Linked DNA regions of Schizosaccharomyces pombe. The protein of the gene in region 1 purifies or fractionates together with the protein of each later gene. This does not show direct contact. Each region holds a gene or a part of one and is shown on either strand. Other genes may lie near its edges. The genes, in order: sds3, png3 and nts1.

What was found.
Region 2: the proteins of sds3 (region 1) and png3 purify together in Schizosaccharomyces pombe (affinity purification with western blotting; one study listed by BioGRID). This does not show direct contact.
Region 3: the proteins of sds3 (region 1) and nts1 purify together in Schizosaccharomyces pombe (affinity purification with western blotting; one study listed by BioGRID). This does not show direct contact.

What each region holds. Positions count from the first base shown.
Region 1 is NC_003424.3:4,152,947-4,163,346, reverse strand, and holds sds3 (Clr6 and Rpd3L histone deacetylase complex subunit Sds3), read right to left. Parts: upstream 6,843-10,400; 5' UTR 6,809-6,842; coding exon 6,005-6,808; 3' UTR 5,621-6,004; downstream 1-5,620. Other genes in the region: deg1 (tRNA-pseudouridine synthase), read right to left, coding at 1-547; splicing suppressor Mss51, read left to right, coding at 1,359-2,495; phosphatidylserine decarboxylase Psd2, read right to left, coding at 2,969-4,519; cytochrome P450 regulator Dap1, read right to left, coding at 7,374-7,874. UniProt on the Schizosaccharomyces pombe protein: Component of the clr6 histone deacetylase complex I responsible for the deacetylation of lysine residues on the N-terminal part of the core histones (H2A, H2B, H3 and H4).
Region 2 is NC_003424.3:3,518,228-3,528,315, reverse strand, and holds png3 (protein Png3), read left to right. Parts: upstream 1-3,951; 5' UTR 3,952-4,111; exon of another isoform or gene 4,112-4,153; 5' UTR 4,154-4,217; coding exon 4,218-4,272; exon of another isoform or gene 4,273-4,319; coding exon 4,320-4,391; intron 4,392-4,671; coding exon 4,672-5,180; downstream 5,181-10,088. Other genes in the region: translation initiation factor eIF4E tif45, read right to left, coding at 1-157; AdoMet-dependent proline dimethyltransferase tae1, read left to right, coding at 175-209, 247-307, 454-721, 823-932, 975-1,160; SPOM_SPAC16E8.13 (ubiquitin-protein ligase E3), read right to left, coding at 1,369-3,012; SPOM_SPAC16E8.18 (uncharacterized protein), read left to right, coding at 5,343-5,666; transcription factor TFIIH complex subunit Tfb1, read left to right, coding at 5,946-5,991, 6,029-6,115, 6,161-6,823, 6,869-7,052, 7,110-7,653, 7,697-7,774; rsm7 (mitochondrial 37S ribosomal protein uS7m), read left to right, coding at 8,556-9,089, 9,177-9,422; RhoGEF Scd1, read right to left, coding at 9,790-10,088.
Region 3 is NC_003421.2:929,103-940,538, reverse strand, and holds nts1 (protein Nts1), read left to right. Parts: upstream 1-5,383; 5' UTR 5,384-5,615; coding exon 5,616-5,775; exon of another isoform or gene 5,776-5,844; intron 5,845-6,254; coding exon 6,255-7,576; 3' UTR 7,577-7,802; downstream 7,803-11,436. Other genes in the region: tpi1 (triosephosphate isomerase), read right to left, coding at 1-594; SPOM_SPCC24B10.20 (dehydrogenase), read right to left, coding at 1,972-2,736; SPOM_SPCC24B10.18 (uncharacterized protein), read right to left, coding at 7,901-8,035, 8,089-8,144, 8,427-8,517; COPII-coated vesicle-associated protein Emp24, read right to left, coding at 9,153-9,461, 9,592-9,788, 9,855-9,948; proteasome assembly chaperone Pac4, read left to right, coding at 10,410-10,784; swt1 (RNA endoribonuclease), read right to left, coding at 11,152-11,436.

The DNA.
Region 1 (10,400 bases):
CGGGCAACAGGCGATTCAATACATCACAATATATGATAGGTCTTCTTTCTGAATGTCGTACATTTAATGATATAACCTGACCCATGGCTGAAACTCCCTTATCAGTACGTCCACATCGACTAAAGGAACATGATGAAGGATCAGTGATGAGATGAGCTCTCAACAGCGCTTCAAACACCTTTCCTTCAACAGTGGGCAAAGGAGTCGGTTCTAACTGGTAGGCAAGACCATTGTAATTCCAACCACAATAGGCAAATTTAAAAGCAACAAAAACTGTTTTTTCTAGTTGAAACGGTCTGACAGGTTTCAGTTTTGGAAGACTACTTGCGTCCTGAAGCGCATGTTGCAAAACTAGTTCTTGGCTCAGATGCTGGGGTTCTATTTCATTTCCATTATCCAATTTGTTTTTATTTTTAATTACTTCATTTTTCCCCTCAATTTCTTTATTGGGAAGTGAATTTGTATTTTTTTGCAATTTCCCGTCCAATTCTAAAATTCTGGATATTAGCTGGTCTCGAGACCATCCAGCATATTTGGAGGCGGGCATTCGAAGGATTTTAGAAAATTGAAAAATCTTGCCTGAATTATATTGCCAATTTAATTACTGCCTTTGACGAGGTCAGGTGGCAGACGAATAGGTTCGCAAGGCTCTGATAATTAATGACTTGCTTGTCATAAGAGGCAGACATTTTCGCAGTAAAGTTATAAATCATCTATGTAACATTGAGAATTTATCAGATATATTTTTAGTTGCTCATTAGTACAACAGCTTTGGGATTCTGTATGGTCAGTTTGCAGTCTTGTTGGGCCAGCTGGAACTGTTACTAAAATATTGAGTTCACTTTACATTACGAGCAATGAAAATTATAGAAGCTTAGATTAACACAGCTACTTTCGAGATGATTCGTATTCCTTATAGTTGCATTGTAGACTTCCAATAAAGAAAGTGCATTTCCCGTTATGCAATTGATTTACTAGATAGTTCTTTAATATCAACATTATTGAAAATCACCTCTTTGTTGAGTCAACTCAATACTTAATATTTTTTTAAAGAATAAAATTCGCTACTGAATGTCGGTTGCTAATGAACAAAGCAATTGCTTCTACGAACTAATTTGTTAATTTTTTTTACTAAGCATTTCAATAGTTTGCCTTGTTAACGTATTTTTTATGTTCCTTGACATTTTTAATTTTAGTTTCTTCGTCTGCTACTAAACACGTTCACCTAAATCAATACTTGTTAAATTTAGCTGCAACACCGACATAAAAATTTATTTCATTACCTATAGTTACATTGAAACCGGTAGAAGGTTGTTTTTTGGTTCAAGAGTGACGTTTCGCTTATATTTTTTTTACTTATGTCGTTTTTAAAAAATCTCTTCAAGAAGAAATCCCCAACTCATGAATTATTCCATCCTTTATCGCGTTCTCCCTTAACGGCTCTTCGCCGTCGCTCTGAGCATATCAAACAAGTCTATCGGTGTCCAATTTCGGGAAAGTCAGTGGAATATGAGTGTCCTGAATCTGGATTTCCTACTCATTGTAATAGAACTCATTGGGAACAGGACAAGATTCACCAATCCCTTATCCCAAAACTACGCCAAATTAATGAAGACTATCATGACTTAGCACGACCAAACCCTTTGCCGGAACTACTCAAACTTCCTGGACCCATGGAAGAAGATGAAGTAGTTTCTCTTCTGTCATGGGATTCATTCTTCTATACCCGCGATTTCCCAAAGTTCCAATCGTCTAGAACTGCTAGACATATTACTAGTTTATTAACATATCCCATGTCAATCGGCGCTATCCTTCACAAGAATTCTCCTTATAATTTAAAAAATGGGTTAACTCCCCAGGGTCTACAATCATTAACTGCTCTACGATATATGCTTCATCGTCCTTTGTCTGCTCAATCTACTGATCCCAGACCCACTAGAATTTTCGTTTTGGGTGCTACCAAAGAATGTTCATTACCACCATCAATTTGGTTACAAGGATTGAACTTTTTGTTCCCAGGTCGTTTATTTCAATTGCATTTTATCGGACCTGAAGTTGTTGTTCCTTCTAAGCAACCCAATTTGCCTTCCCCACTCAGCCTTCATTTTCATCAGGATTACTACCACAATTTGCATAGAGTTGGAGCCTTTGAGCCTTTTGACCCCTACTATGATACTTTTTTTCTTCCGATGCCTCTTATAAGTCATCCACTTTATTCTTCATCGTGGATTCCGACACTTCACGATTTGGTATCGACTCGTTGCTCTGTATGGCTCACAAGTCCTTCATCTCAAAGAACAACCAAAGATTTGGAAGTTCTTAATAATGTTTTGAAAGATTCAATTGAGCCCTTGTTATTGCCAACTGTTAATAAATTTGCCAGCTTAGGCTGGTCTGTTGATGATTCAAACCTTCATGAAGTTTATCACGCAAATCAAGAAGTATTTGGATTCAGAGCCCTTTATTATAATGTCCAAAATGTTTCCAAAGAGTAATTCTTGTCCGTTAAGTCGTCTACCATCTTCCAATTTCATATTCTAATCTAAAAGCAATCTATTAATGAATTTTAAGGTCCAAATTTTGGATTGTGAATAAACAAAATATTAGTATATATGTAATGATTATCAATTACGAATTTTGAAAAGAAGACATGCCACCTTATGTCAAAACAAGCTAACCATACTTATTTTTAAACATTTTCATTACTACTTTAAAGGTGTATCAATAAAATAAATTTATTGGGTGTCAATTCTTTAAATTGGAATGTAATTAAGTAAATAGTAACTATAATTATGGGTTTATAAACGCAATATCAATTTAAATAAAAAGAAGATCAAAAGCAAATGGGTTAATTTAATTAATTCATCACATACAAATGATTATTTAGAATACACACATTCTCATACTAACAATAACTTATATCAGGGATAATCCAGCGATTAATAAAAATTATCCCGATTTATCCTGTTTAGAGGGCCTCTCCAACACGAACATATTGGCCTTGATAAGTGGAAAACTCAAAGTCGGCAGGTGCTTCGAATACCAAAACAACGGTACTTCCGAGTTGAAACCCACCAACTTGTTCGCCACGACTAACTGGCATACCGTCTAAAACAGGAGAAGCGTTCTTGTAAACTGCTTCTTGAAACGTACCTAATGACTTCTTCCGTAAGACGAGGCGATTGGTAGATAAAGTAGGATCACAATTAATGACAATGCTACCCACATTGGTTGCACCTACAGGAATCATACTCATAAATCCATGTTCGTAACGACCCAATAATGCTACGCGTTCATTCAACACAAAAAGGTTGTGTAGTCTTCGCGCCAAAAATGGAGAAACACTAAAGAGTTCACCTGAAAAGTGACGCCTAGATTCAATAACCCAATCAGCAGGAGAGTGAAATCTATGATAGTCACCTGGTGCTAAGTAAATCACAGAGTAAAACAGCTTATTGCCAGGACGGATATTGTGCCAAGGTAATGAGTCAATGTCCGTAACGTCAGCTTCTTGTACCCAATCATCCCAGTTAGTTGGTTCGTGTTCAAGAATTGAAGCAGGAGCAGATTCAAAATCACTAGATGACTCACTCCTCAAGTCATCGTCACCTCCAAGGTTATTCAGATCGAAATTGCTTGAGGGAGAGAGTCGTTTTCCGCATGAGCTACGAACGGAATTTGAAATATCTTCAAAGGCAGAAAAGGGACAGAAATAATTTAAGGAATTACGAGAGTCATTAAGATAAAAATGCGGATGGTCAGTAAAAGCACAAAGAAGTGCTTCCTCGTCAGAATGTTCATCCACAACGGCAGCTGAAGCATCAGCTTTACGATAGCGGTTATTAGAATTTAAGGAAATTGAGTGTTGTTCAGCAAATTGCTCGTGCTTTTGAATAAGATCAGGAGTTATTTCATCCTCAAAGTTGACGACTAAAGGATTCGAACTTGATATACCTCCTAAAAGAGCTTCAAGAGAGTAAGAAAGACCTTTGACATGCTGAATTCGATTATTATCGACAACTCCCTGACAAACGATACGGCCATCTACCGGTGATACGACAGGAGAAACAGGATCAACGGGTCTAGTCTCTGGACGAAGCTCACGGCAAAAGAAATCTTGAAAATTACGGTAATGAGTCAAATCAGGATCCTTCAATTCGCTTAAATTGCATCCAAAAACCCAAGCATATAGTTTAAATCCGGGTGTACGCAAAAAAGTAGGTAAATGAGCTCTGTTAAATTGTCCCCAGACACGAGAAAGGCTCCTTAATGGAAGAGAGCTTAATAAATATACCTGCCAGGAACCATTAGGACGGACACTTATAGAAAGGCGCCCCAAGCGGCGACTCCTGCGAATGCGATGGATACGATTTGAGATCCATTTTAATCTCATGGAAACGCGTACGTTCATTCCATTTAGGGCCTTAACACCTTTCAAAGCGCCGACACCACCGAAGCCTCGAAGGTTAACTTTTGACCAACGAGGATGAAAACGACGAAATCTTTGACGAGGACGCATGTTTGATCGGTATAAATTTCCTTAGTTAGGTATGCTAAATCTAAAATTGAAAACTTGTAAAAAAAATATAAAAAGTACCTAGAAGTTTAAGTACCTTCGATGTCTATTTGGAAAATCCAGAGATGTGGAACTAAGCGAATAAATGTAGAGGTTGTGCTTCCAAGGAAAAATGTGAGTTTAAGTTTTAAAGTCAAGTCTTGTTGCAAACAAATAAAGGAATAGTAGACAAACAAAACTTCGCGGAAGACTTAAGCGAGGAACGGGATAAAGATATAAAAAGGAATATTTTCTTTTGCAAAAGGTTACCAAAAAGACAGAGTATAAGGGTGTTGATATACTCGTAGATTGTTGATGGATCGATTATTGCAAATGAAGAACAGAAGTTTATAAAATTCGTACTAAGGGTTTTAGTACATAAAACTTCTACAAACAATGATGTACAAGATTAAGATATGCTGTTAAGCTGGGGGAAGCGAAAAATATCAAGAAGCAAAGCAAATATTACAAACTTAAGAAATTAGCTGAAGTGTCTATTTCAAAAATGAACCGTTGTATAAATGAGTGAAATTGAAAGAAGGAAAGGCAATGAATAAAAGGAATGAATAAGCGATGATGGTACACAAACCACAAACAATGCACACAGTTTAGTTTCAACGAGAGAGAAAGAGAGGGGTTAAACAAAATGAGAAAAATAAGGAAGCGACAAAGAAAATTGTCTAGCTGATAAGATGGAGTAAAAGCGAAAGGTTATTAAAAAGAAAACTTAGGCAAAGTCCACATTAAACATGAATTTAATAAAGTTGAATAGGATACAGTTCAAAACTGCAACTTGGAAATAGTCAATCTGAAGATTGATTTGGAAAACTAACTACTTCCCTTGTTTTCCTTCAACTATTAAATCCTTCGTGAAGCGATAAATACTGCAAAATTGAATTTTATGTCGACTTTCTTGAATTGCTGATAAATTGGCTAAGGGCACAGCAATATTGTCAGTAGACTGAGAGATCTCCTTATGGGGGGATCGCGAGGAAACATGGGGTGGCGCGGGGTATCCTTTATAACGTGATATACAAGATACCAGTATATTGAATAGCGAACTTTAATTATTCTACAGATATGGACTATAAATAGATGAATGCGGTGCGTAAAAGCAGAAATGTGGGTTAGTCGATTTTGGATATATTTATTACAAATGAATTCAAGTTAAGGATCAACTAGATCAATCACTAGTATGTAATTAAGGACATTTATCCATTCTAAAACATATAACAAGCAAGTAAAAATACAGTAAGGATAATGGTAAACAAACGATAAACTTTTGAGAAAACGATATGTAAATTGAGGACTTGTTCTCAGTAAGCATTCCCTTGCAATATGAATTAAATCATTATTTCAGGTTAGAGGACATTAGGACAAATCATGATAACGATGAGTATCAAGGATTGTTCAACCAATCATCGAAATATTCATTTTTCATAAAGTAAGTTATTTCTTCTTAGCAAGTTCCTTTTTCAACAATTGTAAATCGGATTGAATGTCTTCCTCGGTAGCACCGCTTAAGCCCTTTTCCACGGCTTTTTCACGATCTCTTTCAGCACGCTCGGAGGCTCGGGGATCTCGTTCACGACCGTTCGTAGGGTTAGCGTTTGCCATAGAGAGAAGAGGAGAGAATAAAGAGGCTTCGGCTGAAGTAGGTTTCACGGAATTTACTGAGTTGCGAACGGCATTCTTCACGGATTGTGGGATAACTGCAGTTTCATCGGTGGGAAATAATAAGTAGTCATCAAAAAAATTTAAAGAAGGTAATTGTTGTGTATTTTGTTGATTTCCCGCATTACGACGATGCCGAAGCTTACGACGATCAATGAACTGAGAAGAGGCATCATGGAGCAGTAGGGTCGAGGATTCACTCCCAATGTCAAACATATCCTTTGCTTCGTAAATTTTTCTCTTTTTCTCATTCAAATGGGAAAGCACCATTTCTTTTAAAGTTTTACAACGATATTCGTACTCCTCCTTGGCTGCTTTCATCTCCACTTCGTATTCCTCTTGTGCCCGATTCACCAAAAACGTTCTCCAACGCTCTGCAATTTCCAATTCCTCATCTCTACTCCTTCTAAGTTCATCTGCCAAATCTAAAAGAGTTTTACAAGTTCCGTTACGAATAGATTCCAATTCAGCTTCCAGTTCTGCTTTTTTGGCTCGGAACTCACTAGCTGTAAGTGGATTGTTCAATAAAGGATCCAGTTCTTCTTTTTCATTGTCAAAGACTCTCGAAAGGACGTCCATGACGCTTTAACTCTTTTACCACCTATTTGTTCGTGACAAAACAATTTTGTCCTTCTTCCAGCTACTGACGAAGGATTTTAAGGGTAAGGGTAAGATTCTCCGAATACGAAATAAAGTTATCTAAACGAGAAAAGTTGTGCTAATAATTATCAGATGAACAACGGTTTACAATAATTCTTCAAAATGGATCATACATCTACTACCATTTATATATGTTACAACAAAATAGAAGACACAGATGGTTATTAAGTTTTCATTGTCAAAAAAAAACATGGAAATGACATACAATGTTTTTTAAAAGATGCTATCGTAACCTTATCAAGGCACCAAAATTACTGCTACAAGGACTTTTTTCAACATTGCTTAAGAGCCTCTATTTCATGCAAGATAATTTTTGAAAGCAATCATGCTTCTAGTAATTTCATAACACATCATCAAATGTACCCAAATACTACAGATTGATCCTTCGGACGCGGAACGTATACCACTTGTCCTAGATTATCCCAAAGAAAAGATCATAAACCCATAAGCATGAAAGAAGTCATAAAAAACAGGTTTGTCGCTATTAATTATGCGCAACTTTTTCTTCGGTTTCTGAAATAGTAGCTGCTGCTCTGGCCTCTCTGGGACTTATCAGCCTGCCAACAGCTTGATATTTTTGGTCAAAAAATGCTTTCCAATCGTTTAGAGCCTGCCTCTCCTCATCGTTTAAATCACTGCAATCATCCAATTCTTCTGCATCTGAATCAGGAATAAATTCATCGTCAAAACTATTTTTTGCTAAACCACGACTGGCATCATGACCGGCAAAAGCACTATAAGGGCCTTGTGGACCATAAAATTTTGATCCCATTGTAACGTTGTACACAGTTCCCTTGATAGCAAGAAAAACCAATGAATTTTTGGAGCCATTATATTCCTTCAGTTCTGCTGGAGTATAATCTCTCCATTCGGGCTGTTTTGGCTCTTCGCTTGCAATAAAAGATTTCTCATTCTTCCTTCTCCAGCGAGTGATTAGCAAATAAAGAAATAAGGTTACTATAAAAACAACTTGTGTAGATGCCATGGTGTTGGTTTATGGAAGAATCAACTGGTCGCATGATTCTCTCAAAACCTTCGCACTACCTGCTTAGAAGAATACGTACGATAGTTTTGTTACCATGGTACATTACTATATACGGACGGTTATAGAGAATATGTTTATTGCAGTCTCGTTTTCTGCACACATAAACTGTTTAAAAGGCACTGTAATAAAGCATAAGTTAAAAATTTTGGTTAGTTATGTAATTATATATCAATGATTATGTTGCTCATATATACGCACAGAATGGAACATAGCATATCTTATTTACTATGACAAGAATCTTACAAAAGGTTACAATACTCTTTATGCATGTATAGTCTGCGTAATGGTGTTTTGATTTATTCAACAAAGCGAGAAATCGTAGTCGCACGACATTTTTTTAGTAAAAAAAACAAAATTTCTCAACAGCATAGTTATCCAGGCATACACGAACAATGTTTAAACAAACTGCTGTTCAGAACTTGTTTCTCGTTTCACAACTATTGGTTCAAAGAGCTGGGTTTAATAGAATATTGAGCCTTCTGGCTCGTGTTCATCATGGTAGCAGCATGAGTCGAACGCATGCCTATATCATTTGAAATAGTATGCTTCCACTCGTACAAAATGCAAACCTTTCAAGACTATGATTAAAAGTGCTTTATATATAACTAGCAATATATCAGTATCATTACGATTTAAATTTATCCTTTTTTTAAACCAACTAGTTTACTTGCTTTGTGTGCTAGATTACCAACTAGTATCTCACTACTCTCCAACATTATTTCCGTTTCAGTAGAATTATCGATTGATATCAAAGTTTTATTTAAATATGGTAAAACAAGTCTTAGTTTATATCATCAAGCTAATCACGTTCATCCTATAAAGCTACCTAGCAACTACATTAATATGTTGTAGCCTACCGACTCACTGCAATTTCACAAAGTTGAAGAATGCAGTAAAGAGTACTAAGATGACTACATGCCAAAAGAGGCAATAGTCTTCGCACAATCATTGGCACTTGCAAACGTGGAAATTTCTTTTGCAAGCAATTTGACTTGTGTGCGTTGGGTAGGCTATAAACTAAGGAAAATGCAACCTTTATTATTTCCATCCGGTACTACGAAGCAGTCACATTAACCTAACCTGAAGCGAATGAACAGAATAAGAAAATTCTGATAATCTAACAGTCGTTATGGGATTAGTTACTAGAATTAAGCATTCGATTTAGCAAACAAGATCCCAACTATTCGGAATCGGCTCTCCTGAAATCCAAGGTCATTTTGCTACCATTAATTCTCTCGGTAAACCATTATGAATCAGAAATAACGCTCATGCTGATGGACTATAGAATATAGCAGCAAGCATTGTTCTACATAATCGAGGGTTTGTTTTTGTTAAAGAAGCTTATGTATTTGACTAGTAGTAGAAAGGAACCTTTTTATCTCCGTTAATAATAATTATTAAAGTAAACAAATACCATTAATCGAGTAAATAAATATACAAAATATACTTGAACGATCGGCTATTTACAGGAGCTGTAAGATTAAATTGAATATAAAATAATATTTCTTATGGAAAAATTGTTCGGCTAGTTTAGTGTAAATATTCACCGAAGGCTTATATACAGTGTCTATATGATGATGGTTGGTAATTTTTCTTGACAATTTGTTGTGTAAGTATGACTTGACTAGCCTAAGAAAATCGTTTGATTTTATTGACCATCTTACATATCCAAGTGTAATGAAATTTGCAGCTGTTGTCAAGCGGTAGATGTGAATGTATCGTAAGACCGGTAATTTTTAAAAAAAAAAAAAAAAAAAAAAAGAAGAAAAACAGGTCAGTCATTATTTCCTCCAATGTACAGTCATACCAAGAAATCATACAAGTGTTGCCCTTCTTCTTTGATGAATTATTTTGCCGAATAAAATCAATAAACACCGATGGTACAAGTAAACAAAGATTCGGCGAGGAAGTGAAGCCGATGAAGAGTGTAATTAAAGGACGGTAGTAGGTGATTGAGGGTTTTTTTATTATTGAAGAATTTTGGTAGTATAGCTTTATTTATTAAGATAAAAAAATTATTAATTCAAATTTAAAAACTTTTTGAAGCTGATAACGTTGTTTACTGTTTTTAGTCTACAAAATTAATCAATGTTTAATAGTATATGTAAACATCATCCACAGTCGTGAATCAAATCTCCAGTATTCTTTCATGAAATCAAAAAAAATATCTTACAAATAATTAAAAGAATATGCTGCTACACATTCAATGCTTTCTTGAATCCTTTAATAACACCGATCTATTACGTTTTTAGCCTACTCCAACCCAACCCCCGAAGTCACCAGATCATTTACTGTTGTTATATTCCTTTTCGTTATTTAGTTTAGCGCAGCAAACCGGATGTTGTATAAGCAATTTACGATGATTACCATTCTACTACCACATAAAAAGCAATGCCCTCGCTGTTTCTCTAATTGCCCGGTCCATCAACAAGCGATTAGCCCATTCTAGAAACGAAACAATCTTAA
Region 2 (10,088 bases), 630 kb from region 1:
TAGGTGGCATTAAAAACCACAAAGTCCATGGTCTAGCAAGAGGATGCTTCAAATTAAAATTTATTTTGTCATCAAAAACCGTCCGCAGAGCTTTTTCTTGCGGTTCTGACACGGTATTTTCGGTCTGTGACTCTTTTGGTGGTTGTTCAGTCTGCATGGTTCTGGCTAGAAAGAATGGACCCCGAGAAATTTTATAGCGATGCGATTGAGTATGTGAAAGCTTACAGAATTTGGCTAATTTAATAGCTATTGGAATGGAGTTCAACCAACTGTAGATGGAATGCTTGGAGGGCTGGGAACTGGTCGTGTATGTAAAAGAAAATTTACCAAGAGAATTATATTTTTAGAAAACGGGTGTAAACGTTCAAAAGACTCAATCTCAACTTACTGTTACATCTCTATCTTTTTTTAAGACTATTTATTTAAATAATTTGTATTATTAACATTCTACAGATTCCTCAAACTGATGTAGTGGGATCACGAACTTTTCTCAATCGTCTCAATTATCGTATAGGAAAAATCGAAAACTTAGTGGCCGCTGATTGTGGTGCAGGTATAGGAAGGGTCACTGAAAATGTGCTTTTGAAGATAGCCTCTCATGTCGATCTTGTGGAACCTGTTGAAAATTTCATATCCACGGCAAAAAAACAGCTTGCAACCAAGCCTTGCTCTTTCATAAATGTCGGATTACAAAATTGGACTCCAGAAAAAAACCGTTATGGTATGTATATCAGTTAGATGCTTTTATTTTGTCCAAGATGAGGCTTAATCTCTAGGATCCACTTCTTTGCTTGTCATCTTAACAAATTTTAACAAATTTAGGGCTGATTTGGAACCAATGGTGTTTGTCCCATCTCACAGATGAGGATTTGATTGCCTATCTTAGCCGCTGTTGTGAAGCAATTCAAGAGAAGGGAGTCATTTGCGTAAAGGTTCGTATCCCATATGTGAGTAGGAAAAAACTGACTTCTTAGGAAAATGTTTCATCTTTTGAGGACACCTTTGATCCTATTGATAGTAGCGTAACACGTTGTGAACAGTCTCTGAAGTCCCTGTTTAAAAAGGCAAACCTAGTAGTTGTAGCAGAAACTCTGCAACATGGCTTTCCTGAAGAATTGTTTCCTGTGAAAATGTATGCACTTGTTCCTCATTCCTCGTAAATTTAAACTTGTTCGAAATTGATGGTTGACAATTGAAATAAGCGCGAGATTCTTACTATTGTTGAAAAAGGGACTACCAAAACCAGCTGAAACAGCTTTGACTTTTACAAAAGTAATAAGAACAAAAAGAATAAATATTTTTATTTTATATGCAAACATAAATTGAAAAAATGAAACGTTATTCTCGTAAATGTGTAGTAAAAATATATCAGTCTGTACCTAGTGAACCAGAACTGCTGGGAACGACTGGTTTTTTTTTCTTCTTCTTCTTACTTTTAACAGAATTAGACCTGACCGTAGAGTTATTAGGAAGAACGATGGTTCCATTCTGTAATTCTTCGGATTGGCCCATTTTTTGAATCTCCTGCGACGCAGAAATAGTAAACATAAGGTCTCTAAGTTGCTCATTAAGATCATTAATTTGAAATTGCATTGAAACGATCTGATCGCTCTTTGTTGTATTTTGCTTTTCCAATGTCTGAATGCGAACCAGCAAATTTTCATTCATACTTTTTTCTTCTTCATAATTATGCTTCAAATGCTCTAATTGAGACGAGACACGCTTAAGCTTGTCGTCTCTTTTCTTTAATTTGGATTCAGAAATATCCACGCGAGAACGAAGATCTGTATTTGCATTTGAAGAGGCCGTAGCTATTTTGGTCTTTAAGACGAGTTCTTCATTAACACGGCTCAACTTTTGAGACATATTAGAAAGATGAGATTCGTAATAAAGGCGCTGCGACTCTAGTTGTGATACCAAAATCTGCGTATACTCTAGTCCCATCTTGTCCCGCAGTTTTGATTCCGTAGCGCTGGAACCAGTCCAGCCTGAAGACTTTCCGTCTGTCGACAATTCTACCAATTTACCATCTGTTTCAGACTGCAATAGGCGATGAACATAATTATCTCCAGCGTAATCCCAAACACGTTGTGTTTCAAGTTCCATAGCATAACAATGAGCGGTGTCTACATAATGTTGCTTAGCATGTGCATCGTGGTATCTGCCACATCCAATGTTACCACAAATCAAGCAAATCCATAAATCTTTATCATAACAGCATACAGTGCATTTGCTCTGAAATTCAGAACTCTGTACTTTTTGAGTATAACGACATACAGGACATGATGAATTTCCCCATTTTTGCAAGCATGGACAGTGAAAAGTATGCTGGCACACAATGGTAATTAAACCAGTAATTGAAGAATCCATACGTTCTAAACATACAACGCATGTAGGAAGCTCGATAAGGGCAGGAGTCGTAGAAGCAAAAGGTTTGGAGGAAGGGCCTACTAGTTGCTGCTCAGTTGAAGAAGAATCAGAGCTCTCCATTGGATATTTTATATTTACTTTGTCAATATGTAAAACGTGGCAAGTTTCAGGATCTATTTGGCTAAAAGCTTTGCCATTGAACTCTGTATAGAACCTAATAACACTTGCTTGATCCTTGAATTTCAACAGCGCCATGATCCGATTTGGATCTTTCGTCTTAAGAAGACGTATATGCTGGATTGACTTGCAATGTTTCTCTCCCAAAAAACCCAATACATCGGAGGGCGACATATATAAGGGAATTGCCAATATCGCAAGGATTAGACCTGGCGCATCAAATTCATGGCTTTCTGAAGGAAATACCCTGTATAAATGAACGACGCCATGTCCAAGAGATGTCTCCTCAACCTCAGGAACTTTAGAAGATGGAAAATCCATTGATAATAACTTTATTTCACCCAATCGAAAATTAAAATGATCGCCTCCAAAAGAATTACCAACAACTTTAGATGCTCTCCTTTTATTACAGGTAAAAATATCTTTTACAGGAGACTCACATTCAATTTCTAAGTAGTAATACATGCATTAAACATCAATACTTGGTAATGGCTCTAAACGACTTGGCATGGTGTTAGTAGAAATAGAATACCTGAGGTCTGTAATGTTAGTAACACCAAATCCTTTATTATTTTTGAGAAGTTTTTAAATTTAAGTGAAAAATAAATAATTTTTAGATGAACTACGTAAGAACTTTCATTTTAATTACTGGTAATAGATACGGATCAATACGATTAAAATGAATCCTAATAAATAATGATAAAATGAGCAATTTTATTAATGGATTTATTCAGCTAGAAAAATAGCATTAATTTAAAATAGAATATTCACTCACTCTTGAAGCCTGCATGGTGAAATTATACATGAATTTGAACATGCAAAAATTGAATTGAAAACTTTTCATTTTAGGAATTCGTTTTCTTTTACAATTGGTCAAGTGTCTTACAAAATCGATTCTTTAAGAGCTATGTTTCTATGCAATTACTTGTCGGTCTCGCGTTGTATACTTCTAGGATAAGATTTTAATATGATTCCAAGAACCGCATATTTTATAATATAATAACAATTTATGTTGTATTCTGTTTCTGCCCTTTTCTTCCCGTCGGTTTAAAAAAAACAATTAACAAGCATGTATTTAGTATATTCTGGGGGTACCATTCAGGAAGTTCTCAGATTCTCAGCCCATTTAGAAGGAGATAGTTTTGAATAAACTGGGACCATCACTAAAAAAATAATTTTGTATTCTTAAAAGAACCAGAGGTGCCAAGCAAGCGTATGAAAACATGAATGTGCTTAATTAAGCTGACGGATTGGCCATTGACTAAAATGCAAGCAACCTTTTGAAATGAACATACTTTAAAATGACTTGAATTTTTTACTTTATTATAAAAACTGATCACTGACCCATGAGGATCCCGTATTTCTTCGGGACGATATTTTCCTAGTTTAACGCATTTCATGAACGACCACTACCAACTAGGTACAATAGTTCATACTCAAGTAAAAGAAGCTAGGTGTGTTTTGGAGAACAGCTATATAAAATAAAGTTTTGAAAAAGCTTTGAAGCAAGCCTTATAAGTGGAAAACCGAGATTCTTTGGTTCGATTGCACTTATATTACAGACGTAAACAAAAGGAAGCAAAAAGCAATGCTAACCTTGGGCAAGTAATAAAAGTCAAACTAGAAAGAATCCTCATGAATAGCTGTATATAATCGACAAGTCGTCAGCCATGGCAAAACCAAAAAAGGAAAATGACTTGGATCTTCTTATACAACTTGCTGACGGTAATAAATGAACATGTGTAAATAAATAATTTTCTTACATTATTTAGCATTGGAAGCTATACCGGGTGATTTATCCAAAAATTTTACGGAAGTCCGTTTTTTAGAGGCTGAACTAAAGGGTAAGTGATAGTGGCATTATAGATTGGGATTTTTTGCTTGAACAACTGTGAAGGTTTTGATAATAAACAAAAAAATGAAAGATTACTAGTGAAACCGTTCTGGTGTTGATTTTCTTTGTTAATGTTTAATCAATCTGCTTAGGACTTGTTTGAACCTTGAATATGTTATTCAAAAGGACTTGAACGCTACTGAGGCTTATAATAAGTTTATGTTGTTCTTATCAAAACTTGCCTATCTAGAGCTTGCCTTTTTCTGATTTAAAATGATTAACATGTTCAGATGTGTATTCACAAGCTCTTTCTTCAATTGATGACCTTCTTAACAGAGATACTAGTGTTGAACGTCGTAATTTAGTCGCTCGAAACTTATCATTACTGTTAAAATCCGATGATGTACAAACTCGAAAAAAATCCCACATTGCAATGTATGCAGAGGCAATTACTCATAGTAATGTTTTACGTTTAGAACACTGTTATCAAAAGATGGAAATGAAATTACCAAATTTTTTTATTCCTTTCACTCCAGAGGTTATAAAAGAGCAAAAAACTTCGAGACCTATTAGAGCATCCCGGCGGAGAGCCAATTTAAGGAATCGCCGTGCTAAAGAATTGCTAGCAGCTGAAAACGCATCGGAGGAAGGAGATAAAAAGCAAATAATCACGGATTCTGGTAAACTACCAGAGACAGAGGAATTAACCGAGACCACAAATGAAGACCTCGACATCAAACAATTCTCTCCCTATTCTTCAGAGAGCAGTGCAAACGTTTCTTCTTACAATAAATCTTGAAACTTACGTAAAGCCTTATATTATTAAAATTCTTGCTTTTTTGTTTTTCTAATTGAAATACACTAATAATAGTTTATCCGGGATTAGCTACTAAATTCTAGTCATTCAACAGAAGTCACTTTGAAAACATATATAAACTCATGTCTTTCCATACTGATTCGAATGGAGGTAACTTCTTTCATACTTAATGCTACGTTTAAAGAGTTTGCATGTTTTGGAAACAATTACTTGATAATACTACCAGGAATTATGTTAGAAAGGAACGTATTTAGACATTTGAATTACTCTACAAATTCTATTTGTAGCCACTATCAGTTTTTTGGCGGACATTACGAATCTTTTGAACTTTTAGTAGTGATAGTTTATTACTTTTCACATGTTGGTTCTTTCTCTTTGGCTGAGATATATCGTATTACCTGGGATAAACGCATTGTACTTTATGGAACAACAACCACTCTTGTCTACTGCTCTGAAGGGTCGGATTGATTGCGTATATGATTAATTCATATTGTATTTTTTTAAAAATAAAACAGGGCTATAGTTTTAGATAACTGTCTCTTATAGGTTACCTATGTTCATAGCTCAACTTAATGAGGATATATTTACCCAAAATCTAAGTGTATATGATTTGGGACATCAAGAAACCATTCAAAACTTTTATTTTTCTAATGATTTTCGTAGTTTCCAATGTTCATCCTGTGTCTAACAAATCTTGATAATTTCGTAAAAGACTAGCGGTGTATTCCACAACTACCAAAATATCTGATGGGAGACAGGGTAGAAGCATTAGCCATATTCAGAAAAAAACAAGGTAAAATAACAATTAAATCAATGATTCTAACATGCAGGCGTATTATCTATCGATAGTAGATTAAAATGGACGGGGGAAGGGAAAACAACACCATCAGTAGATATTGCTTTTGATGCAATTTCGAGTAATAATAATTGTTGCATTTTCGAGATTACTGACAGATTGATAGATCTTCAAACTACTCCAGCGTCTAATCCAAAAGTTATGATTCGTGTTTTTATAGTAGTAAAGGAAGGTGAAGATCCCACTTCTTTAGTATTTCATTTCACCGGTACTCCTAATGCCAGAGAAAATTGTGATATGATTACTAATGAGTTGAGAAATGCGATACAAAGACAAAGGGAAGGCTCTCAATCTAAACCACAAGGAGCCAATGTCGATCGTGTAAATTCTACGAATCTAGAAAAGGACATCGACTTACAAGAGTCTTTGCTTACTAACAATCCCGATCTCTTACAAACATTTAAGGAAGCAGTTATGAAGGGACATTTAAGTAATGAGCAATTTTGGAGCACAAGGCTTCATTTGCTCCGCGCTCATGCTGTAGAAAGGTCTCAGCAGCGTGGTCCTTATAATGTCTTGTCTACTATTAAACCTAAAACAGTGGACAACCAAATGAAAGTTTCCCTTACCGGCCAGCAAATTCACGATATGTTTGAACAACATCCATTGCTCCGAAAGGTATATGACAAGCATGTGCCTCCTCTAGCAGAAGGAGAGTTTTGGAGTAGATTTTTCCTTTCCAAGCTTTGTAAAAAGCTTCGTGGCGACAGAATTACACCAATGGATCCCTCTGATGATATAATGGATAAGTATTTAAAAGATAATGAAGGTAATTTCTCCAACCTAGATGAATTCCATTTCTAACATTTTCAAGAGGTAACCAAAGTATCGGATGAACCTATTGCATCGCACCTCTTTGATTTAGAAGGAAATGATCAAAATGCAAATGTAATAGCAGAACTTAGACCTGATATCACTATGCGAATTGACAAAGAAGCTCTACCGTTTATGAAAAACATCAATCAGCTTTCGGAAAGACTTTTGGAAAAAAGTTTGGGGTATGTATATTCGGTTTTATTAATTGTTATTGCTTCGGTATGCCTAACAACTTGTAGAAACTCTAAACGATTTAACAACGAAAATGAAGAAACATACTTAAAAGAATCTGGTTTTCACGATTTAGAAGAAGAAGCCAGTGACTCTAAAGTTGTCTTAAAAATCAAAGGTCAAGATCAGTTATTGGAAAATAATTTTGTCCCCTCAAAAAATCAAGTTGGTTTAGAGCCTTTGCCTTCATTGGAAGCTCTTCAACATTTATACCAGGAAGATTCGATAAGCTTAAATCACATTGAACATGATTCTGACTCTTTGGCTGAAGCCGCTATGCAGCTTACTCAGAGTATGCGCGAAAAGCATGAGTTTGAGACCCACGGCACTGCATCAAATTTACCTATTGACATAAAAAATGAAATTGTTTTGTGCCATACCGTTACGATAGAATTTTTGCATCAATTTTGGAATGCCTTGTTGAATACAACTTTCCCGGACAAGAAGGCGATGGCCCCCCTTCAGAATGCTCTGTTAAATTCGAAAAAAAGGGTGGAGGCAATTGCGAGCCAGGCTCAGGAACAAAACGTTGATCCAAAACTGGTTTATGAGGTAAGTTTTTTTTGTAGAGATTTTGATTATTAACTAGGATTAGTTGGTATCCTGTACGCTCACTTCTATTGATACGTCAATCTCGGAGTATCAAAGACGAATGTCTTATCCTCCTGCTTAGGTTTGATAATGTCTTTGGAAACTCAATTGTGCTTGTAAAAGGTAATTGTTTCTGTTTTTCCATATAGAGGTTAATGATATATTGATATATTCTTTATTGGACTTAATGTTCTTTCTTCATAAAGGCTGGAAAAAATGAACATTGAAATGCTGGATATGGCTCTTTTTCTGTTTATACAACTCTTGAATTAAAAAACTTTTGTTTTGGTTTATAGATTCAAAAGACAATCAAAACTGTTTTTAGATTACTGTGCTCATAGGCCAAAATCTAATGTTTTTATGTCTTTATAGATTTTATTATTTATTAAAATTCGTTTTATGACACGAATATAGTATGTTATAAACTGATGTTCAATTAATTAATGTCCCATAATTTCTCTCTTTTGTTTTAAATGCTTGTTTTTACAATTTTTCAATTTATCGCTTCTCTGTATATTATATATAACTTTTTTTTTTACTTTCTTTCAAGGTATCAGTTCTGTATGATCCCAATAAAACTGTGTCTAGCTCAAGTATTAAATTTGGATACACAATTAATGATGAATATTTTAACATCGATTACCTAATTTATCTTATTTCAAGTTAATAAATAAATAGCCAAACGACTTTGAAATGTAGCACGCTAGCGCCTAGTTCCCTTCCCTTTTCTTTCATTTATCCATAGTGTATATGTACTAAGCTTAAACATCTACGCACACCTTAGCTTTCCTACATGCTTTGATTAATAAGAGTAATTGTTTTAAAAATTTCATTCAAGAAGAAAGAACAAACAATAAAGGGCCATGCTACGACTCATAAAGCAACCTTTGTTTCGATGTGCGAGTTCGGGACATTTGATGAAAGAGTCGCTTGTTTTTATCCATCAGACTCGTACTTTTCAAGTTGGAAAATTTACCTCAAATGAAAAATATAATGAAAAAATTGAAGATATCAATGAACGTTCAAATCCACAATGGGATAATGCGGGACTCGAAAATTTACTGAATCAACTTCAAGATTCTGTCGAACAGTCTGCCTCCGACGATTTTATGGGTGAATTAGAGAAAAAAATTGAAGTTGAAAATGAAGAACCGCCGCTAATGGGTACAAATCTGTGGCCTTCTCCGTCAAGTTCAATTGTAGGGTTAATAGATCGACCATTTCAGGTCGACTCTACAGTACAGCATTTGGTGAATTTAATAATGCGAGATGGGAAAAAAGCTAAAGCTGAAAAGATTGTTGCAACAGCGCTCTCTATCATACAAAAAGAAACCGGTGAAAATCCTATAGATGTTTTGAAACAAGCAATCGCTGAGATTTCTCCCTTAATGAAGTTGGTACGTCGAAATTATTGAAAATTTTGGAATTTTTTGTGAATTATTTCTTTTTATAGTGTGTAGACGGATTTGCTAATATTTTGATAGGTTTCTGCAAAGCGATTTAACAAAAGTGTCGAATTTCCTATGCCATTGAAAGAGCGACAGCGAAGAAGGATTGCGTTACAATGGATCCTCGGTGAATGTAAATCATCAAGTCCTAAAAGATTATCAGATCGTATTGTTAAAGAAATCATTGCTATCAGGAGCAAGACAAGCAATTGTTTCAAAAAGAAAGATCATCTGCACAGAATGTGCCTTGTTAACAGAGGTAATGCACCCGTTCGTATATAAAAACAAAAATTCCGTACATTTTTATCTTTTTTATGAATTGCATTCCCTTTTAGTAATGTTATTTTTGTCTAGTATATCGAGAATTGATTACTCTTAGTTATCAACTCAATTATACTACGTAGTGCGCAGTTAATCATATTCATGTTTATGAGGTTATAGTTTGGTTGTAAAATAACTTTCATAATATTCATCAACATTCTTCTACAGCTCCTTTTCAGTTAACGGAAATGCTACAGAATTTATCTTCTATGAAGTATATTGTTGTTTTTTCAAAACAAAGAAGGGAAAGTAAATTAGTTCATCGACTAAACTGTTAATTTCCTCTATATAAATTAAATTGACAATGTACAGCTAGCACAATGCTAGTTTAGAAATAAACAACAACGTGCAAAGACACAGTATCCATTCCTTTATTATGGACAGGATCCATAAGTTCAAACGTGCACGTTTCAAATGCCATTAAAACGTCTTCATCGGATGTGATGGTTATAAAATCGCCATCCTCATCAACATACTTCAGTCTAACCCGAAAAGGAACAGCTTGTTTCAAAATCCCACAAAGCTTTATTTTATGTTCTACCTTGGCTAACAGCTCATCAAATGTTATATCATGAGCAACAACCAGGACGAGACTAACCTCATGTAAACGGAGACGAATTTTAACAT
Region 3 (11,436 bases), on another chromosome or scaffold:
TGCACCAAGCTTGTTGGTAGCCCACTTGCGGATCTCAGCGTGAACCTCTTGAGCTTGCTCAGGGGTGGCAGTCTTACCAGTACCAATGGCCCAGACAGGCTCATAAGCAATGACAATCTTGGACCAGTTCTGGACCTTGTCAGCGATGGCGTTCAATTGACGAACAACAACGTTGATGGTCTCGTTAGCCTCACGCTCGGCCAAAGTCTCACCAATGCAGGCAACGACAGTAAGACCTTGTTCAAGGGCAAACTTGGTCTTGTCGGCAACGAACTCGTCAGACTCCTTGAAGATGGTACGACGCTCGGAGTGACCAGTCAAAGTGTAGGTAATACCAGCATCAATCAAAGATTGAGCACTGTTCTCACCAGTGTAGGCACCGTTCTTCTTGTCGAAGACGTTTTGGGCACCAACGCCAATATCCTTCTTGACTTGTTGGCGGGTGGTGATGAGGTACATGTTTTGAGGGAAGATGACAGTTTCGACATCACCAACGTTAAGCTTGGTGGTGTTCAAACCCTCAATAATAGTCTTCATGGACTCCAAAGAGCCATTCATCTTAAAGTTACCACCGACAAAGAATTTACGTGCCATTTTGATCCTAGTTCTACTATTGAAATGTAGTTGGGGAGAGACGAGAGTTGGCCCGTCCGCTCATTATATATAACGTAGCGGACAGTCACACAGTTAAGGGGAATTACCGAGCTTCGGCAATTTACCCCGTCGATAGCAACCGTTGGCATGGATCCACAGTGCGGTAGGAAGGGTCAGACATAAACACAAAGAAATCTGCTCATGTAAATAAACAATAAATAAGAGAATGAATTGAACTTTTTTGTGATTTTTAATAGATTCTTCACTCAAATTCGATGAACAGGAGAAAAATTGAACGCAAAACGAATGGATTTAGCTTAAAAGAGTGTTACAAGTGTCCTAGTCTTATTCCAGATTATCTAAGGAACTACAAAAACTCATTTTTGCCTTTTCTTTCTTCAAATTATCTCTTCTTGAAGTGTTGAAGGCATTTAAAATGCACCACAATTCGAGTCAACAATGTTTGGAAATTTGCATTAATGGCTAAAAATCGCGGCTGATCGTTATTTCGGGTTATTGAACGATTAATCGTGTTTATTGCATTTTGCGAGCATGTTTAAGCATAGTGCACGATTTATCACTCTCATTACTGTCCATCTTGGGTATTTGTTTTGTTTACATCTAGGAAGACTCCAGGTAGCAGCGGGGCCAAATTTGTTACCTTGATGTAACGATGAGCAATCCCCCGAAAAGATCTGCCGGAAAAACCTTAAGATGCGCTTTCGGGTGCGAAGAAGTTTCTAGAGATCGCAGCAAATGGCATCAAATTTGCTAAAGATCTGTAATCTTCTATAAAGCATTCTAGTGAAATGTGCTAACAAAAATAATGCGCTCAACTCTATTACAGTAAATCACTCAAGTGCTTTCTCCATCACATGCTCCTATGTTCAACCGCTGAGATCGCAGCGGATACTAGTACGTGGTCAAGCGGCTCTTCACAAAATTTTAAACTCTATTAATGAATTGTAATAGAATTTGTATTCCACAGGTCTCCCATGACAAGTCCCAACTTTGTGGTAAATTATTTTACAAGCATAGTTGTAAATACTAATCTATCACGTTTCCCTATTACTCACATAATGAATGAACAGCTCGCAGAGAAGCATTCAGCGTGGCTTACAGCGTCCTTAAAATGATTAGGAGGCTTTGTCGAGAGCATTAAACACAGATATCAAAATTTAAACCTGGCTGCGCTATTTCGTATGTTTTTAATTCAAATAAGCCTGAAAGGTGCATTCTCAAGCTTTTTTTTAAGTATTTCGTAAAGTAATTAAGTGAAATCTTACCAGAGTATTCAATTCATAATTTATAGATAATTGATTCAAGTTGGCACTGCTTTGTGTCTTGTTGCGTAAACCATTGACAGGCGAACTTCCATTAAAATGGAAGTTTTGTGCCATCAAGGTTATAAAACATTCCATTATCCTCTGTTTTTAAATTATCCACAATTTTAAGCATAGATGAAGCACTTTGCTCTGGTGAGATGGCATTGCTCTTGATGGATTCTACCATCTCAGGATATTTGCTGGCTAATTTTTGCATAGCATTAACAAACATGTCAGTGTTAACTACTCCAGGGTGAATAGAAACTACAACGAATCCATCTTTCTCTAACTCAAAACTAATTTCTTTCATCGTATAATTTAAGGCTGCTTTAGATTGCCCGTAAGCCGAGTATGTGTTTGGACGAACTCCTCCCATGCACGCAGCCATTGATGAAGTAAAAACAATATTCTTTAGCTTTCCCTCCTTTAACAAGTGATAAAAAGCTTGGTAAACATGAATAGGACCTAACACATTGGTTTGATAATGAGACATCCAAAGCTCGTCTGATGTTTTCAAAACAGGTTGGAAGGATTTCGATATCCCCGAATTCACCCAAAGAACATCAATACATTTTACTACCTTTTCAACCTGCATGGCAGCGTCTTTGGCACTTCGTAGAGAAGTGACATCTAACTTGATGATATGTACATTGGAATGGGTCTTGCTCCAATCTTTCAGTTCAGAGGCAGATCCAGGTCCACGAGCACTTGCAAAAACAGTTACTCCTTCCTTATTGCTTAACTCTTTGACTAGAGAAAGTCCAATGCCACGGTTTCCACCCACAATAACGTAAACTATCCCACCAGCAGCCGACATGTTTTAGCATAAAATGACTCAAAAAGATTCAAGGTGATGATTTTTTTCAACAATAATTCTTTATATCAAGGTCAGTCGTCTTGCCTAGCCTACTTGGTTGGAGGTGTAAAACAGTTGCGCTCACGCATAATGTATCAAGTCAGAAAGATCTGCAAATGCATCGTCGCACAGTTCTTAAACTATAGTCACTAAACAATAATACGTTATTATTTAATCAATCAATATGCTTTATGAATGACATTATGCTCTTTTGCCCAAATTAAGCCCTAAAGTCGTAGCTGGTATCTCTAGTCTGAGTTTGGGACAGCAGTTTTAAAGTAAAAGGCTGCTGAATTCTATCAGGTATCATTCCTCCATTTGCTACTAGATAAAGCTACTATAACTAAAGAATTGGCAATACATTTCGATAATAAACATACAAACAATGTAGCGGATTCACATTTTTATTGCTACAAATTTACCAACTGGTGCTAACTTGCGTTGTCTAACTATATATCGATAGTGAAGGTTTTTTTTCTATTTCATATAAGCAACTTAATGACAGGCTACGTTATATTTCAATTTGCAACTGACTTTATAAAGGAACCTGACAGAATGTACAGCTACTGTAACGTTTTGAAAGGTGCTTCGTAAAGTAAATATAGCGTTTTGCTTTATATATCGCTCCTTTCTTTCTACACTGTTAATCTACTTTAGTAGGTAGGAAAGGATATCAAGGGTGTAAGAAAATTTCATGGTTTTTCTGTTGTATGTTCATTTATTTTATATTTATGGAGTGTTTTGTACGCACTAGCTCTTTTAGTGTTTTATTTTTACTGCGAGAAATGTAATTTTCATTCTTCCTCTTTTATTTATATATGTGTTTTTTTTTGGTAGATTTTGTAAACATCATATAGCTTGTTAATGATCAGACTTTATTTTTTTAATATTTTCTTTTGTTAAGCAATTTCGTTTAAAAATAAACATATCCGACTTTGATGCTTCAAAAATTTAATGTAATAAAATAATATTCCTGTTTTTGAATCTGGGTTAAAATCATATCGGATACCTTATAAAATTCACTGATCATTTAAAAAAAAAAAAAAAAAAAAAAAAAACCCCCCGAAAACATACAATTTTGTTAATTTTCAAATGCATTCTTTTGAGGTCAAGCCATATTTACTTTTATCCCAAATATTAAATTTAAGTGTCATATGCAAAGTTGCAAATTCGCCGACCGTAGGGCTATCAAAACTGATGATGTTTAAAAATTGACTAATGGAACAAATTTATCTTGAGATGAAATGATGTTGTTCAAAATTAATATAATTTTTTTTTGCTGTTTCCTCTTGCTTTATACGCATTTTCCTGCACCTCTCTTTCAGAATACACATTATTCTTATTTGGTATTAAGATTCACCAATTGATAAAATAACACCTAATTGTATGCCACGGCTATCTTGCTATTATTGTAATTTCGCTTTATATTCGATTTTGACGAATGAACCCTGTCAAGTTGGAAAATGCAAAAGCAGTATTCTACCGTTACCTCTCAGTAGTAAAATGACCTTCCATCGATGAAATTCTCTAACATTCTCTTCGTATTTAAAAATGTATGGATCGTATATTCCTTGCTTATCCACGATTCATGAACAATTAAGATTTGCTGAATGGGTAACACATATTCTGCGTTACCTCGTATAGTTCATTGTTAATCAATGTTTAAACACTAAATTTCCCATCTCCCACTGTTAATTGAAAATAGGTTTTATTCAATAAATTACCATTTAAAAAGACATGTTATTTTAAGTTATATATTTTATGAACCTAAAGATTGAAGTAAAGGCCTTCGGAGCCTTTAGTTCCCCTACTATGTGCCTCTACTCGCTTCTTGGGGCTTAACTGTAATGTAGTATTGCCAATTACACAAAAAATTTATATTGTTCTTTAGCTTCTTATAATTCATTTAAATGAGAGGTAAAAAATTCGAGAAGACATTTCAGAAAACTACAGAAGTATCCATTTGTTTGAAATTAACTGTCCTAATGCAGATGAATCCTATGTAATAGAAATATTACAACCGTGGCTATAAAAGAAGTTGAGAGTTAGTTATACGTAAGAATATCTTTTAAAGATTTCAATCGACATCTCACATGATTCATCAGTATTAAACGTAAAAGTTTACATATTAGTTGTAGCACTATTCGTGATAAATGAAATAGTAAACCAAAAAACGAACGAGGAATAATCTTTTCATCACTAGAATATTAAAATTATTTTATATAATCAAAGTTAGAAAGATTCCTTTAGTTCCTTGAAATATTCTTTAATTATTATTGCAGCACTAAGGATTGCATCACTGATATGTCTCAGTAATGATTATCAGAACGTCTGGTAATAAAGCACGATCCTCTCTCTTTTTTTGTTCTGACTCTCGTCAGGATGAATTCCTTCTCAAAGTGCCGGGAGGAATTGCTTTGTATTTTTTGTACCGTACTTACATTTTATCGTATACTTTCACCTTAGCGCTTTTGGTGTCAAAACAATAGAGATGTAAATTTTAATAGAAATTAAAGCTTATTGGAATTTTTGTTTTCAAGTGTTTTAACATGTAGTGATTGTGTAAAGTATATGTTTACGTTCTAGTAATCGACTACCGTTGAAACTTGCAAACTACCAAACAGTATTGCAGACAGTGAATCAGTCGACGGAGCACTTGAATCAATTTGTTAATAATATAGAGATTAAATTCACAATTTATTGACACATGATTAACTGAATTCATTAAAATATTTGTTTTTTTGGTATATATTTCCTTTCAATACCCTCGCTATTTGTTTCTTAATAACTGAAGACAACATTGATCTACTTAATATATATGACTCAAAACTCACAGAGTAATGGTGAAATCGTGTCAAAAAAAACCGGATATTGATGAGTTCTTTTCATTTTTGCAGAGTGCATTCCATCCTCTACAGACCGAGGAACTTGATACATTCGTTCGCAACATTTTTGAATATGACGATCGAGGTCGTTTGTACAACTGCCTTTTAACTCTAGGTAAGAATGAATATTAGATATAATCAAGTTTATTTTTATCGCTTTTTCTAAAATTGTGAATTTTCAATTGATCGTCGTATGCTTGATAGCAATTTTGATGATCTTTTATCAAACATTTTGCACGCCTATAACTCTAAGGTTATATCAATTCAATTTTCTCAAAGAAACATATAAAATTTTACTCTATTCATGACTTGGCATGAGTGGTTGGATGAGACTGTGGCGTTGGTCGTTAATTATATTTTTTGTTGTTTCTGTTCGAAATTGAATGGTTGATTTCAACATTTAGCCCTTGGGTTTTTATTTCCCTAGGAAAAATGTTTGGGAGATTTAACCGTACAGTTTTCTGTAAAGCAAATGATTGTATAAAAAAATTATGATGACTGAAAATTCAAATCTACTACAATGTCACTTGAAAAATCGATTTCTTTTTTGATGTTTTATTTCTTTTTTATTAAAATTTCTAACCGTTAATGCAGTTCCTTATGAAAGACTTCCAATAGATGCAGAGGATCTTAGTAGTCGAAAAACCTATGCGCGTCCCGTACTAATCCGACAATACCGCAGTTTGCGGTTTGCCAACAAAGAAGAAAACATTTGTCGGCTAACTCCCAACTCAGCGTTCGTCCCTGTTCGAGACTCTGCAGTCGCTAGCATTTCAACCTCAAAAGTGCAGGACTTTAACTCCTATGCTACTCTCACTGAAGCACAGAAAAAAACGGCCACTCCCGTTGAGGAAAAAAACTTCTTAAATCAAATTGTCATACAATGTTTAGACTCTTTGGAAACCGACGTTGAAACAAATACCACGCATGCTACTTTACTAGCCGTTGACCCTACTTGGTTAATCCGTGTATCACAGCATACCTGTGATCGGAAAGCTGTGGCTAATCTCTGTATTCAGTATGGAAGTCAAATATTTTATGATCCATCATTTCGAAATGCTTATGAATTATGGTCCAATCCTTCAGTTCTTTTGGCTTTTTTGAAGGCCCAAAGAGTGTTGGTCGTTTCAGATATATTTACTTCGTCAACATTGAGATCAACACAAGGGACGCCAATGTCTTTTCCTAATTTAGCTTTGGAAAGCGCTGATAATGTCGAGAACGTATCAAAGCCTATTAACCCTCGAATGGAAAGGTTTTCATCAGAGGTTAAATCTTCGAGTATTCTGAAACAACAGATTGCAGCCGTTGTTGAGAAAATCAATTATGACATACGCCCTCAACGTGATCAAATCCCTGAAGAAAATATCGTACCTAGAATCTCTTACTTAACAAGTACCACTACTTCGACCAAATCATCACCGGTTCCCGAAAGCACTACAACAAACACAACTGAAGTGCTGAAAGAACTTAATGACATTCAAGAGAACAAAAGCAGAAAAAATGTTGAAAAAGCGACTGCGGCAACAGAAGAAATGCTACGTGGCCATCACAAACCGGTAGAAGGAACAACGGCTACTTCGGAAAAAGAAAGCATTAAAGAAGAAGTTGATTTAGAAGTTAACGGTGACGGGAAAGTTGAAGCGGAAGAGAGAATAGAATTGGAATCTTCCGATTCAGAGAAAGAGCTTTCAGAGCTGATTGATTTTCTTAAAAGAGAACACCCACCGGAAGATACTCCAGAAAAACGAGTAAAGATTAAAAGAATTAGAACATTACTCGACACATGGCAGCAGGAGTGGAGAATTTTAAATAAAGCCATTTCAAATGCAGAGTCAAATTCTGGGCGAGGACAGAACTCCAAAACGAAAACTACTTCTGTAAACTTATCGCGAAACAAACGAACGAGGACTTAAGAATGTTTAAAAGCATTTTTTTTGTGGAACATAATTATTAATCTTAGAATTACGAGCTTTTTATTTGGAACACTACTGAGTCTAATTATTTAAAGAAAATTATCAAACAACAATATTTGTATATAACGTTTACTCATTTCCCAACAAAATTAATTTATAAATAATAATCAAAAATGAACCGAATTCCCTGTATACTTAACCATAATAGTAATAAAATTCCAAAACCAATGCTACAATTCGATAAATGCAGTATGATCAAGTGTAGCCATTTACCTCCTTTTGAAAAGGAACAAAACAGTTACACAAAAAGAAATACCAAACGACTCAATGCTTTCCCTCCTTTAACTCCTTGGCACCAGCTTCACCTAATGCCTTAGTAATTGTCAACTTGCCCACTTGTTGAGACGCAATTCCGGCAATTAGTTTCTCATTGCGAACATTTAATGTTTTTGTAATGTTCTTTAAAGATATTAGCAAAAAGAACATATATAAAAGTAAATTTTAAAACATACCGCATTAATTGTATGGTCTTTGATAGCAGCTGCTCTTCTAGGGGCACAATAACGAGCTAAAAGTCAAGGTTAGTAATGAGTATTAATGATGAATGATAAACCATATAATATGATATCTTGTATGCTTAAGAGTAAAATGATTGAAACGTGTATCAAAAAATTTAATGAAAAATTTTACTATAATGAGTATCTAAAGTTACGAAAAGATGAAGAGTTTATAGCACCACAAAGGTTGTCCAACAACTTCAATGAGCTTAAAATATTAAAAGAAACATCCCTAAACCAAATTCCCTAGCATACAAAGATCACCGAATATTTGACAGTTGCAGCTGACATACCGCCTTTTTTAGGATTCTTGGAGTGTTTTGTAACACGTCCGCCCTTGTTGGCACTACTATTTTTCTTCTTTTTAAATTCTCCTTGTGCCATTGAGTTACGATAAATGGTAATGGTTATAGTTTGGTGTAGTAAATGAATTTTCATAGATACTTTGAAGGTAACATTAGAAGGAGGTAACAAACATCGCCATGAATACAGCAATAAGTAATACATACAAGTGGCATTACAGACTAAATAATTCGTTTTATAAGCAAATGTATAATGAGGGAATTGTTATACTGTTAATGTTACCGTCTATAAAAAAAGTGTACCTTTAGAAAGATCGGAATGCCATAAAATGTGAAAGTTAAAGTGCAGTGTTTCCCACAGTGCAGAATGATTTAAGAAATTAAGACTTTAAAATTCATTAAAAAACACGTACGTTTGCTAAATGATTGCTTCAAACATAACGAATCTTTTTTTTTAAAGAACAGGCGAGATCATAAAAGAAAACATTAACCTGCACAAGTAAAAGACAGATTAAAGATTCAGATTGAAAGGGAAAACGCCAGCAACCGACAGGAAATAAAATTTTTTAAAAAAAATTTAGTCGTCGGTGATGGCCAGCTTCAAATAGAGACCAATTATAATACTTTTTGCTGCTCAAGCAGAATCTTGAAATTACGACCGTCGTCCAGTCGCACGGAAAACTTATTGCGAACAATAAGTAACGTTATGCGGATAAACTATACAACACGCTTTACTTCGAAAAGTCGCTTTAAGTAGAAAATTTGGAATACACATACGGAAACTAGAATAACGGTTTGAAGAATACTCCACCACTTGACGCGGTCATTTGTGCTTTCAGCAGTATTGCGATGTATTCTTTCACGAGCCACAAAATACTCCTGCTCATGTTTTACCTTGGAGATGGTATCATGGAGTTGGCGGACCTTGCCGAGTAAAGGATTGTTAGCATCCAAATCTTCATCAGAGATATATATAACACCATGCACATTGAATAAAACCTCCTTTGATTCACCATCGAGTGCATCCTATTGATGTTGTTAGTTAAGATTGTACATCTAGCTGTTTCCGGCTCAACCATCAAACAATTAGACGACATGGGAAATGACGACCATAATGCCAGGCTTTGATGCCAGAAAACAAAAAGATAACACATACATTATAGAAACAATACATGTATTTCCCTGGGTTCTTAACGGTGAAAGAATATTGGGCCATAGAGTTGGGAACCTCTTGATGCATAATTTGACCCGCAGGATTGTAGATACTCATAGAAACAAGCTGATCACCACCAACGTTTGTTTGATAAGTGACAGACATTTGATCATTATTCCTCAAATTTTCATAGAAACATTCTAAGTTTGCTTCATTAGCATTGTATACTCCATGAATCTCAACACAAATACACTGAAATTACATACCTCGTTGATGCGGTTTCAATGTAATGCCATGACCGAAAACAACAGATATAAAATAAGCACATAACACGGCTTTAAATACGTTAAAAAACGCCATTTTGCAAAGTAAAGCTCTTTGCTCTTTGAAGCAGCAAGAATGAGGTCTATGGTAGAGGAAACGTACAAAGCACTAGTTGGAGGGCAACCGTGCATAAACAAAGCACAACTGTGAAATTAGGCGACGCTACGTTAAATTTGCTTAAGAAAAAATACGATGTCTTTATAAAAAAAACGTAATACGGTATCTTTCCTTATTTCTGTGGAAATTATTAAATCATTCTTGTCTTCAGAGTATAACTAGTAATTCTCCAAAACTTCGTTTATTTTGTATTTAACTTATTATTGAACATCAATTCATTTTATTTTTTTTTCTCTCCTATTAATTAGGTTTTGCATGAACTTGCCATTTGTTCGAAAACCTTTACTGTTGTATTCATAATATTTTTGCCAACATTTTAAAGCCACACTTTGCTTGTCCTCTCTTTCTTTGAATTTTTAAAAAAAAATAATTGTTTTACCATGTTTCAAGTCATCCAAAAAGAACTTGATTTTGGGAATGCAATGATACCAAAAGTATGGATACAAGTCATAAAGCTGAATCCATCCTCTTCTATCTTTGTATGGGGAAGCAATGTTTCAACATGTCCTGCAGGTGATTTAGCCCTTTCCATGCCAGGTAAATCGGATGTCGTTACTACCAAACTTACTGGTGCTGGCTCAATTGACGATCTTTCTACTCAAATGTCTCGGATCCTCTCCAAAAAATTTCAAGCTCAAGTCTACACTAGCATAAACCTTCAAGGGGACTTTCCGAATGATCCTGAGGTCCAATCTGTTTTTACACAGGTTATCCGTGCTGTCATTGAAATTATCGAAAGCTCAAAATCCTCATAGGTAAACTCGCTGTGGGTTTGCGACGCAACCGAAACTAAGCACCAGTAATTGAACTAATAAAAACTAAAAGCGCGGTCTCTTTTTTCTTCCTAACATACTTTTTATTTTTTTTTCGGTTGTTTATGGTGAACAGCGGTTTCATATACATAATGGTCTAATATTTGTTGTTAATATAGTGTTAACATTGTACATATTACATCTCAAAACATTTCGGTTGATGCATGTTTTCTCATAGGGTAGTTATACCGTTGATGAACCTTTTCTATTTTCCATACAGGTACTTTTAATCTTTTTGGTGCTACAAAAAAAGGATATAGTTGGTGAATATTTTCATTAATGTATTAATTTAGCAATATTTATATTTTTTCTAAGATAAAATACGTTCTCGGCCTGATCGTTCGACCCATTTTTCAATATTTTGCTCCCTAAAACCTATATAGGTAGATGCTTGATCTCCTAAAATTTCACGTCTACTTAATAGAGTCCAAATATTAGACCAAAAAGTAACGTAAGTTTGTAACTCCTCTTGATTTTTTGGCCCAATTCCAATACCACGCTCCGCCCAAAGCATCCATTCATTCCATAATTCGGCTTTGGATTTTAAATTTGATCTTTCTTGAGCTGGTAAGTATCCATCGAAACACGTATACCA